Linked DNA regions of Neodiprion lecontei. The protein of the gene in region 1 purifies or fractionates together with the protein of each later gene. This does not show direct contact. Links are inferred from orthologs where the notes say so. Each region holds a gene or a part of one and is shown in the gene's direction. Other genes may lie near its edges.

Evidence for each region.
Region 2: the proteins of dnaJ homolog subfamily C member 3 (region 1) and dnaJ homolog shv purify together in Homo sapiens (affinity purification with mass spectrometry; 3 studies listed by BioGRID and IntAct, with this or other methods). This does not show direct contact. The link is inferred for Neodiprion lecontei from reciprocal best matches to the Homo sapiens genes DNAJC3 and DNAJB11.

The regions. Positions count from the first base shown.
Region 1 is NC_060263.1:26,116,447-26,124,103, forward strand, and holds dnaJ homolog subfamily C member 3, read left to right. Parts: upstream 1-1,976; 5' UTR 1,977-2,121; coding exon 2,122-2,170; intron 2,171-2,272; coding exon 2,273-2,383; intron 2,384-2,645; coding exon 2,646-2,845; intron 2,846-3,358; coding exon 3,359-3,684; intron 3,685-3,770; coding exon 3,771-4,114; intron 4,115-4,197; coding exon 4,198-4,622; 3' UTR 4,623-7,000; downstream 7,001-7,657. Other genes in the region: dynein regulatory complex protein 9, read right to left, coding at 7,209-7,523, 7,594-7,657. UniProt on the Homo sapiens protein: Involved in the unfolded protein response (UPR) during endoplasmic reticulum (ER) stress.
Region 2 is NC_060261.1:31,356,406-31,361,704, forward strand, and holds dnaJ homolog shv, read left to right. Parts: upstream 1-1,971; 5' UTR 1,972-2,061; coding exon 2,062-2,132; intron 2,133-2,301; coding exon 2,302-2,686; intron 2,687-3,033; coding exon 3,034-3,302; intron 3,303-3,423; coding exon 3,424-3,710; intron 3,711-3,831; coding exon 3,832-3,896; 3' UTR 3,897-4,545; downstream 4,546-5,299. Other genes in the region: alpha-methylacyl-CoA racemase, read right to left, coding at 1-196, 277-523, 610-901, 1,009-1,116. UniProt on the Homo sapiens protein: As a co-chaperone for HSPA5 it is required for proper folding, trafficking or degradation of proteins.

The DNA.
Region 1 (7,657 bases):
TTTAATGACGAGGTAACAAGTAGCAGTAAAGTTTATCATCTGCGTACAGAATTTTTCATACCGAACGACGTGCATGCCCAATTAATACACAATCCATTTCAATTTTTACTAATAAATAATTATTACACAATTTTCATAGTAAAAGAAAAAATGATATAGATATATCGCATTGGCGAATGTACCATTCGGTCAGAGATTTACTAGTGATCACAGGTTTAATATGCTATCTTAGTTGAATTATAAAAAAAAAACCTAGAAAAATTAAAATAACACAAAAAAAATATATCAATCCAATCACTTGTACCTTGTGCAGGTATTCCAATCAATAAAAAGAAAACAATAATTAAAAAAAACTACGTACATTATTGTCTTAAACATATGAAATACCTGAAATACTGCTTTAAAAACGCGTGTTTTTCCTTTGCATTTCACACGAGTACCCAATTCCGTTTAGGGTAATTAATAAACTGGTGCAGCAAGGCTACGATTAATTAAATTTCCAAAGGAACAATCTGATTTAATATGAATGTATCGTACTGCATACGTTCACAATGATTATCGGATCAAACGTTATTTGTTTGTTTGTAGTATTATGTTAGTTATTACAGATGTGAGGAGTGACAGGAGAATAGCTAAAAGCAAATGATACAATAAAGATTAAAGATAAAAGCAACAAGAATGATGCAGCTTCAAGTGTATTTATTTCTATCAGTTCCGTAATAAAGGTCTCTATAGCAATAATTATATTTCAGGGAATTATCCGATTTCAATGTTGAATTACAGAATCCATTGTATCCGCAATAATCGTTATTCAAATATTTTGTGGAATGGAAATGTTGGATGCAAAACAGGCAAGATATTTACTACAGACATCCGAGGCCGTTCTCCCTTCTGTGCCCTTTATTCGTTAGTCTGTATAATTTGTTGAAACTTTTTTTCACAAACTCAGTTTCCAAGTTATTCAAGTTTTTCAACGGCCTCGAACTTGACGGGACATCCGATACTATAATAATCGAGATTTGAAAAGTGGGAAAAATTGTAAGTTGAGCATTCTCAAACATTTGTACAATTTCCTTCAGAATATTTCATCTTTGGAGAACACTTTGACTTGTCCATCAGATGTGATATACAAATTGCTCATTATCTTGGATTGATTGTAAATTTTTGGAGCGTTGACTGCCGTTTTCACATTTATTAATTTCGTGACCGAATAGGTACTCAATTTTATCCTATAATACCATTACCAATAAATATTACATACTGTCAGAGAAACGAGCGGTCTGGTTTCAAATTCAAGCATTGTCATGTAATTATTCAGTATTATCAATAAACAAGGCGTAACTCCTACAAACTTTGTATAGTACTAAAAATTTGTTAAATCATAAATATTTTTAAAGGTTTCATATTTAATCTCGATACGATTTTTTCGTTTACACAGTTTGTCCTACGTGTATTCGAGTAAATTGCGAAGTATATTGATGTCTATCAAATTTGTCGCAAAGCATGTGCCGTGATGATATTAATCGCAATGCCAATAAAAATATTGTGCCAGTAATGGATTTTATCAGGCATTGACTTTTTTTTTATCAGACATTGGGTAGTATCGAATCTGAATAGCTTCGATTGATTATCGTCCGATATTTTTTGTATTCTGCCAAAAACTATGAGAATATAAATTTTCACTTATTACTTCTTTCGAACAACCAAGAGCCTCACGACTATGCGGCTATTATTTGACTGCTGTAACATTGAACGTATTCTACATGATTCGTGATAAATCGAATAATTTTTTAATCCTTGGCCATTTCGTTGGCGAAAGAATATCAAATTTCAAATTTATGGGTGATTACGCGGATGCCATAGGCGTAGCATCTACTTACGGAAGGTGAAATAGAGTCGCCGTCGTGACACGCTGCCTAATTTGCGGACGTAATCACGTGTGTTCCTCGATCATGAAGTTCAATGAGTTGGACCAATGAGGATAGACCACGATCGCAATGGCGGTACGGCTAGTCAGTTTTGCGATATCGGGGAGGCGAGTCAACGTTTGTGTACACTGTTGTTAAGTTTGAAGCATAATCCAACGGAAAACAACCTCTGCAAACGTCGATTCTTCCAGTCATGTTTCAATATTGGCTGATACTGGTTGTATTAGAACGGTCCTTAGATGGTGAGTTACTCTAACCTTTTTCGCGAAACTATTTCTCTTCCCATTGCCTGCACTTCTCTCGGCTGAGCATTTAAACAATTTGAACGCTTTTCACTTTCACAGCTGCTCTGAGCGTTTCTCAGGCCGAGATTGACAGGCATTTAGAACTAGGGAGGGAATTTTTAGCCAGAGGTCAACTTCAAGATGCCTTGTCCCATTATCATGCCGCAGTGGGTGAGTGAATTTTGTACATGAATAATTATATGATTTAACTTTTACCTCGGTCAAGTGTTTCTATTCTTGTTTATCCGAAAATTCTGTTTCTTCGTTTACACACATCAAAAATTATAGTTCATCAAAGACAGGCAGCTCGTTCTGATGTTTCTAGACTTTTTGAAAACCTGTTGATTTCTTTGTCGTACGTCACAGTTGATTCAGTCAATCCCTAAAATTACAAACACATGTGATGACGCTTCAATTTTCTTTACTTACGCAGAGGGTGATCCGAATAACTACCTCACATATTACAAAAGAGGTACGGTGTACTTAGCCCTCGGTAAAGCAAAGTTCGCCTTATTTGATTTGGACAAAGTTTTGGAATTGAAGCCTGATTTTCATGCCGCTAGATTACAGCGTGGTAACGTATTGTTGAAACAGGCCGAATTAGACGCAGCTGAAGTCGACTTTCATAATGTGGTAAGTGTTTCTGACTCAAGATACCTCCATTTCCTCATAACCGTAGCTATGTAAGTTTTCCCAGTATTTGACTTTTTTTTTGGTCTAAATGTCTAATTCTTATTGTATTTATGTTGAATGTTACGTATTTCTACTAAGATTTTCTTGGAGCGAAAGACCGAATGCAAATGGGAATTGCAATCCTTGCAACTCTATTGGAAAGCATTGTTCTTGTAGCTGTTGTTTCACATTACTGTATCAAGCTCGACGCTTACTTTAATATAAACGTGTATATTGCAGTGATCAAGCCACCACAGTTTACATACATAATACTTCATTTCATGTGATCACATATGGTATTAAAGTATAGAATCGATCTGTTTCACTTTCTTTACCATAATCGGCTGGAAACAGATTAGATTAGATATGTATCCTGAGAGTAGCCTTTTCATCATTTGATTTACTAAGATTTCTCAGAATACAAATAAAGTAAAATGGCAAATACTTGAATAATTGATTTTTACGTCTGTTCAGCTGGCATTTGATCCGTCGAACGAAGATGCTTTGAATGGGTTGTACAAATTATCTCCAGTCAGGGAGGATATTCAGCTGGCTGAAGTGTTATCACAAAGTGGTGATTATCCAGCAGTTATTCAGTTGATAAATCGAATAATAGAAGTTTGCCCTTGGGCATCGCACCTTCGGGAACTGAGAGCCGAGAGCCATGCAGCATTAGGTGATTACATGAACGCTGTTTCTGATATACGATCGACGACAAAACTTTTGGCCGACAATACTCAGGGATACTTCAAGCTCTCTTCGCTATTGTATCGCCTGGGCCAAGTCGACGAGTCTCTCAAGTGAGTGTCTTCTTTGAGCAGCAGTTTTTCAATAGTTGATATTAATATATTGTTCAAAAATTATTTCTTTCAATTTCGTGTGTTAGGGAAATTCGGGAGTGCTTAAAGTTGGATCCGGAACACAAACAGTGCTTTCCACATTACAAAAAAGTCAAGAAGATTGCGAAGTTTATAAACGATGCAGAGACATCTGAAGAGGCTAAAGATTATGAAAGTTGCATTGACGGAAGTAAGCGTGTTCTCAAAAATGAACCGCACGTACAAAATGTGCGTTTTCTAGCTGCCCAATTGCTCTGCCGATGTCATCTTGGTAACAATGATCCTGCTAAAGCTATAGAAAATTGTCACGACGCTCTCGAGATCCAACGAGAACCAGGCCTATTCTGTGATAGGGCAGAAGCCTACATTGCTGCTGAACAATATGACGATGGTATGTTACAGCAAATAAGTTTTGTTGTATAGATTTTTTTGTATCGAATGCAAGTACAACATAATTTCGTTTATTTCAAACAGCGATCAGGGATTTCAAAGAGGCACTGGAAATAGATCCAAATTTGCAAAGAGCTAAGGATGGTGTTCAGAGAGCGCAGAGATTGCAAAAGCAATCAGAATCCCGAGACTACTACAAAATCCTTTCAGTTCCAAGAACCGCCTCCAAAAAGGAAATCGTCAAAGCTTATAGAAAGGCGGCTCAAAAATGGCATCCTGACAACTTCCAAGAAGGGGAAGAGAAGAAGCGTGCAGAGAAAAAGTTCATTGACATCGCTGCAGCTAAAGAAGTATTGACTGATCCTGAAAAACGTGCAAAGTTTGATCAGGGCGAGGATCCGCTAGATCCTGAATCTGGACGACAACAAGGATTCAATCCCTTCCACGAATTTTCACACTTCGCACGCCCTCACGGCTCACCCTTCCAATTCAAGTTCCACTTCCCTTAGCAAAATCAAGAAACTCAGTAGTTCTATTGAATTTTTAATGACGACGATATACGAAAACACGTCGGGCATTTGCTATTACAACAATATGTATAACTAAACGCACTGCAGAACTCCGCCTTTCTTTTCCTGTCGGTTATCTAATGGGTGTGAGTGAATTTAGGTCGCAGACGTGAATTTTATATCAAATTGCTTGACCGAATTATCGAAGAGTACTGGATACCAAAGAAATCGTAATAGGACAGTCTCTAATTTATGCACATTTTTCAAACTGCTCATGATTTTCTTGTTTAAGTGAAACAAGAGATAAACATTCACAAGATATTATACTAGAAATCTTCAGCAAACGCTTCAGATGCATTTTAAATTTTCGATTCAATGTTGTACATTTAAATTCATGCGTTCATACTGCCTGTAGTAATCGATAGCTTCATCTCTTCATATCGCAATTATTACCAAAGCACTGTAAATTGGGGTTCGAAATTATTAGGATTACTTCCTGAAGTGGCTACGTCCCATTTAAGCTGAACCCGAGTTCCGCTTATTTATTTACGATAAAAAATGTTCAGTAATGAAGTGGTGAAATACCTTGGGCAACCGTGTTTGTCACTTAGTTTTTTTTTTTTTTTTTTACATAGCCGCTGCATACAACGAATGTTTTCACTGAAACTGGGTTTACAAAATCTAATAGAAATTACGTGAATTCATTCCTAACTACTCTTACTTTATCTTCAAAACATTATTAATACCCATATGTTTATTATACACAAAACTTTGAATCTGGTCGAACTAAATACATAAATTTTCGTACTGAAATAGGTTATGAGATATTGAGAAAATTTATTTAATCGTGCTCTGGGCTGATCTGTTATACCGTTACTTGGCTTTCGTGTTACGAAAATAAAATTTGACAAATCCTAACAATAGTTTGACCGAATTTTTTAGCATCTTATTTTTGGGAAGTAGAACTACAATCTTTGTCGAAAGATGCAATAACAGATTTTACTGTATTAAACTGTATGATATCTATGAGCAATCGTTTCAATTGCTCTCACATTTTTATTACATTGCTCTTTGACCCTGAATTTAAATTACTTCAGGTTGAAAAATATACTTCTAAGGTACAGCAGCATCACTTGTTAACAAGATTGCAGCACGTAATTGGTAATATGCTGGAGTCCTCTTTACTGATTGCGTTTACGTTCTAAAGTTTACATTTTCTTTGACTCGCCTTTATTTATTCGTAAAAGAATATGTAACTTTACATTCATATGATTTACAAACACATGTCGAGGTCTTACGGTAATGGATATATAGTTATACATATTGAAAGCACAATTTCTTATTTCGTTCTGGTATCCACTACTCTTCCTTTTTCTGATTCGGAATAGGCAATTAGTGTAAAAAAAAAGAATCAAGCTGCCTGAAATTAATTTTTATCGTATTAATTGCTAGTGGGATTAGAAACAGTTTGCGATTCTGCAACTGGGCGTGAAAAAGTTGATGAATCTTCTACACGCACACGGAACTTTCAGTTAACTCCTCGTATTTCGAGAGATATCAATGTTCCGATCTTATTCACAGAGTAGACACAGATTTCTCTCAATTGCCAAACAGCTATTGCGGATACTCGCGTGAAGCCATTAATAAGTTTCTAATCTTCGTAGGTGCAATTAATTGTTGCGAAGTTCTCTTTAATATGATAAAAAAAAATCGAAACGACGTGAGAAGTGAACAGACTTCCAGGGTCCAAAAGACATTATTATAGCGTGAATAATTAATTTTTCGTTTGTAAATGTTTTATTTTTACCCTTAGAAGTCTCAACACGTATATTATTATATACATACAGGACGAGTGATGTAAATCTTTGGATAGTGAGTATCATCTCTACTCGTCGTAATCCAAAACAAAAGCTACGGAATAGGTGCCACTTCCCTTTTGATCAAAAGCGGTGGGTGTATGTATACGTGCATGATTGTACATACTTGTAATTTGTGCATCAAATTATGCCGATACTTCAGATGCTGGGCTATTATGTGTAGTCTTGTATCCCGAGAAGTTGGCATATATACAAATGCGCGCGCGTGTGTGTGTGTGTGTGTGTGTGTTCTTGTACATACTGTGTCACTGATAAGTTTGTTTAAAAATATATTTGAATAATTTATATTACTACGGAGAAAATTTTTATTTATCTTTTTTACAGTATTATTTCAGATGATTGGGATCCCATCTTTCAATACTAATTTCTGTGATATTTGGAAATAAAACAAAAGGGGATAACATATCACATTGTTGTAAAAATAAACAAGTTACTGGCTAAAGTCGAATTCAGCAAAGTAGCTTGAAATATAACGTAGTAAAAAAAAAAAAAAAAAAAAAAGTCGGAAGATTAGTATATGTACGTATATGACATATTCCAAAAACAGGTGTAGTATGGAATTATCGCGTAATAAAAAAGTAAAACATTACTCGAATATTCCAATTAAAAAATCACTGTGGTGATAAGGTCAATTTTATTTTTTTCGGTATAATGCGTCACGTGCTGTGATGAGATATTTAATCGAAGAACTCTGAAGTTTGGTTCATGGTTATTTTTTCTTTTTCGAGGGTGAAGTCCTAGGCTTCTTACGTCCTTTTCCAGCCATCTTCTGGGCTTTGCCACCCTTGCCTTTGCGTTTCTTTAACCGTGCTCGGAGCCCTTTGAAGGGGCCGATTTGTTTTCGAACCATGTACCCCCTCCACTGTGCCTGAATGAGGGTGGCGACCCGATGAATTTCTCGCCAGTATTCCTCTTCCTTTCTAGCTCGCTCCTTTTCCGCTAGTACTTCGTCGATGAAAACTTGCCTGGCGTCTCTCAACAAGCTCAGTTCCTCTAGTTCAACTAATTGACCTTCGATGTGATCCTGGAGCGATACACAAATTCAATTTTGTTCAAGTATCTGCAACGAGAAAACTCGATGTTATCCTCCTTACCTTTAGTTCAGTCATTTCCTGTTCTCGTCTTTCAAGCTCCTCGATGTATTGGCTTGTCCAAGAT
Region 2 (5,299 bases), on another chromosome or scaffold:
CTGTGTCTTTTCCTTGAATATCTTGGCCAGCCGTGAACGACTTTCCTCAAAGTCTCCAAACTGGGGCAAGTCGTCTTCTGAAAGACCTAGTTTCTCTAACAAAACTGCATAGAATTGAGGCTCAAGGGCACCGACAGCCATGAATTGTCCATCCCTTGTTTCGTATGTATCATAAAAGTGAGCTCCTCCATCCAACCTGAAGTAACCAATTAAAAATATGAAAACAAATCAACACTTGTTGTCTTTTGAATGATAATCTATCCTAATTTTCCCTACAAATTTTTTCCTCTGGGTTGTCCCCATAGTCCGGCAAGTCCTTGCGAGCGGTATAACCAGCTCCCCAAGTATGCTGAACCCTCAACCATAGAAACATCAATTACTTGACCCTCATTACTCCGTGTTCGTTCCAGCAATGCAAGGACTATGCCGAAAGCACAGGTCAAGCCGCCACCGCCGAAGTCTGCAGTAAGATTTACAGGTGGAGTTGGTTTCTCATGGTGTCTACCGAAGAGCGAAAGCAGACCTGTGTAACAGCTTTACTAGTCATTATTTTATAGCGATAGATATTAAATCATATCAAAATATTCTGAAGATTTGCGATTGTCTTACCAGATAAACCGACATAATTTATATCGTGCCCAGCCATCTTGGCATATGGACCAGTTTGTCCAAATCCACTTAGCCTTGCGTAGATGAGTCTCTTGTTTTTTAGCATTAGAGTGTCTGGACCTAGTCCCAGTTTTTCCATAGTGCCTGGTCGGAATGGATCAAGAATAACATCGCTCTGTTGAGACATCTTTTTCAGTATATCAGTACCCTCTTTAGACTTGAGATTTAATCCTACAGAACGTTTTCCATTGCCCAAGAAATCAATAGCAATATTTGGCACTTCACTGGAAGCCTATAATGAATGCATATGATTTATTCATTAAAAATAATGTCAATTTTCTTGGACTTTTGATGTTCTCAATACATAGTCTGAATACTATAGTTTATTAAAATTCTTACTCTGTCTACTCTGACCACTGATGCCCCAAAATTTGATAATATCATACCACAAAAAGGTACTGGTGCGAGTCCGGCTAGTTCGATAACTTTGATTCCTCGCAGTGGCATTTTGAAACAAGATCAGATACCAGGTATGTTTCCGTTCTACTGAATTACAATGTGCTCTTATACTCAAAAGCTTATAGACTTACTGGATTAATCTTTTACTAGTAATCTTATCCCTACTTTGAAACGTTTGGAACTCATCGGTCAAGAGAGGGGATAGCAACCGTTGCGTAAATTATCAGCCGCTGAAAATACGCAGAGAGCATACGTACCGATCTCACCTAAAGGGGTGCCCTGGTCGCTTTCGACGTCGACGTATATATTATCTCTAAATATCCAAGTCCACGTATGTCAAACGCGTAAAAGGGCTCAACAGTTGCATTCTATACGCAATCCTGAACAAAAACAGTACAATGTGTTTTCTTTAGACGCAGAAACATAGAAATGGCATGGATTCTACGAAATTGCTATAGTAAATCGTAGAATTCATGCCATCTTTTTATATCTGCGTCAAATGACACCCCTTTAAACTGGCATGTACGAGGATGTATCAATATACATTATTAGAAAATAAAAAGGGGAAACCCACGGCATTTGGGGTGTGTTCGTAAATATAATTCCGGGATAAGACTCACCATCTACCGTTGGTAACTGGTACGCTAATTATAAGCCGATCGACGTATTTTATGGCGAAATGAAAGAGGGTAGCCAGCTTAATGAAAACTACGTCAACACGTAGAGCAAAAAGTAAAATTATTCGAAATTAGAATATAAGATTTATTCGAAAAGTACGTAATTCACTTCACTTTTTATTATAGGCCGTCAGGCAGCTCAAATACCAAACAATGAAACACCACGGAGTGAGTGTGACGAAGTTTCTTATCTATCGGTTTTTTTTTTGTTTATGTCAAATCGCGTCAAGCCAATCACAGAGAACCACGACCAGAGTTGGATGTGGATGCACTTATACATGACGCTACGTATGGTGATAGCTAAACGTCTGCTAGGATGGCAGCGGCACAATTAACCAGGATATTTCTAGTCAATTTAATTCTATGCGTTCTATTTGTACTGGCCGGGTGAGTCTAATTTTATCATATAAACCGAAATCATATCTTAACCAAAAACGATCAATCATTAAGTCACAAATGCTTGTATTATGCTATTAAAAAGAGAGCAGTCCAATACATAACCTCGAATCTTTTTATTAAGACAAATCGTTGACGTGTATATGAAAATCATTTAAAGGAGGGACTTCTACTCCATCCTCGGGGTATCACGAAATGCAAATACCCATACAATAAAAAAGGCGTACAGAAGATTGGCCAAGGAATTGCACCCGGATAAGAACAAGGATGATCCGGACTCATCACAAAAGTTCCAGGACTTGGGGGCTGCCTACGAGGTTCTCTCTGACACAGAAAAAAGAGAAATGTACGATAGGTGTGGTGAGGAGTGTCTGAAAAAAGATGGCATGATGAACAATGCCGATCCCTTTGCCAGCTTCTTTGGTGACTTTGGATTTCATTTTGGCGGTGATTCACAGCACCAACATGAAACCCCCAAGGGAGCAAACATTGTCATGGAACTGCCAGTGACGTTGGAAGAACTTTATAGCGGAAACTTTATAGAGGTTCGATATCACTTAGCTCAAACTATTCGTGTTTTGATTGAATTAGTTTCATTCCAGGCTGTCTGTTGAAATCACTGATAATAATTTCGATCAATTCTAATTTAAAAAGTATTTTAACGTGATTGTTCGAATAATAATTATACTCCGTGGACTTAGTTTCATATTATCACTCTTCAAAATAATGCAATTTTGTAGTAATGTTATTAATTTGGCGAATCTGGTTATGAATGTTATAGCTTGTTTCACAATAACTAGGCCTCTAATTTATTATGGTCATCTGAAAATTAGTAGAGTTGAAGGCATCTGATTTGAAGACAGTTCTAATCTAGTTTTTTTGGATCATGCAGATAACAAGGAACAAGCCAGTAATGAAAGCTGCCGCGGGAACGCGAAAGTGTAACTGCAGGCAAGAAATGGTAACACGAAATCTAGGCCCAGGTAGATTCCAGATGATGCAGCAAACAGTTTGCGACGAATGTCCGAACGTCAGATTAGTAAACGAAGAACGGACACTGGAAGTCGAAGTGGAACCGGGGATGGTGGATGGACAGGAAACGAGATTCACTGCCGAAGGGGAACCGCATTTGGATGGAGATCCCGGAGATTTGATAATCAAGTAAGGTCAAAAAAGGACAGGGGGGATGTGTTTGCAATGAGAACTGCATGTTACTGTTGATTACCATTCAAACAGGGAGTAGCCTTTCTGTATTAATGTGAAAACTTTGTTAAATTTCCAGAATACGCACCCAACCGCATCCCGTTTTCGAAAGAGTTCAAGATGATCTTTATGCCAATGTGACTATATCTCTGCAGGACGCTTTGATAGGGTTCACTATGGAGATCGATCACCTAGATGGGCACAAAGTCACCATACAGAGGGATAAAATAACTTGGCCAGGAGCTAGGATCCGAAAGAAGGGCGAGGGCATGCCCAATTATGAAAATAACAACCTTCATGGTACTTTGTACATCACGTTTAACGTAGAGTTCCCAAAATCCGAATTTTCGGAAACCGAAAAAGAAGGTAAAAATCTTCGTTATGACTTACTTTGTTTTCTGTACCTCCCATTTCGATAATTTATGGTTTTATAATGCATGCAAGGATTGTATTAGTGTAGTGTATAACTGTCTAATTCTACTTACAGATATCAAGAAGCTCCTGCGGCAAGGTTCTGTAAACAAAGTGTACAATGGACTAAGAGGGTATTAGTGAAAAAAATTAAATCAACAATTAAGAGAATTATCAATAATGAAAAAGAATAACGTAGCAGGCAACATCATGAATTGTGCGCCAACGAATGATCCGTCGGCGTTATTTAAGAAGGGCTCAATAGTTTACGATTTCCAACTACAACTCGTTCAATTTCCGCCAAGTTGTTTAAAGATTGACATTCATATGTAAACAAAAATAGTTAATTCATTATTAGATTCGATAATTTTGTATGTTTGACAAACAGTTAATTGAAAATGTTGCATGTTATGATGCTGCGTCTTGTTTCAATTATACGGATGTTTTTTGAACGTAAAAATACATGGAGCACATGTCGCAGCATCCTAGCCGGCTATAAAGATTTCTTCTAATTCTCTTCAAATAACATGAGATAGAAAATTTATAATGACTGCCTTACGTAATGTATTTCATTATCTTTATTCTACTGAACAAGAACCGAACGGATGATGTGTAATTTATAAGTTATTATTAGTATCATTATGATTACTGATGTGTGAATGGCCAATAGGATGCGCAGAAATTATTGCGACGCATAGACTTAAGAAAATTTTTGCATTAATAATGTACAACTATTAATATATGCAATGCATGATGATATTCACAAGTTATGCAGTAAGTGAAAAATCAATAATGCAGTATTTATTTATTCATACCTTGTACGACTGCAGCCACATGCTATTCCCTCGTCGATTATTATCAGAAAACAAATTGCTCCCCTCTCTTGGTCGAGTCAAATCGATACAACGATTTTCGAATGACACTTCAAACTCTTATAATTATTGGCAGAACAAAAGTCGCGCCAAGAGACGTACAAAACGAAATATATCACCCAACTCACGATTGTTGACATTTTTCAAAAAACCCCGAAGACCCGACAAAAAATCCCCAGTTTATAAGCGCTTATCGGCGAAATACTGGAAATAATACAAGAAATATAACTAAAATACTGTTGCCATTATTTCGACAGGCATGAAATTGCACCTGGTGTCTTTTTTGTACCTAAAATGATCCTACAGTCATAACAAAATTTGAAGCGTGTCAACGGCCGCCATGTTGATTTTATCCCGGTGTTTAAATTCGGTGTAAAGTAAACTAACAAGTAAAAACATGTTTTCCACACAACTTTGGCAAACTTTCCACCTGAGATACGCTACTACACGTCAACATTTGTATCTAATTAAAATTAATTCTGTATCACAGTTTCAAAAACAAAGATGCGTAGGTCGGGTATTTGAACTTGTTCCCAGATAGTCGGGTTCACTCTTCGAGCGAAACCTGAATTCAAATACGTGATCGTGAAATAACGGCTCAACATTGTATAATATTTATTTAAAATACTATAAAATATCAAAAGTATATAACATCCATGAGATATGTGTGAT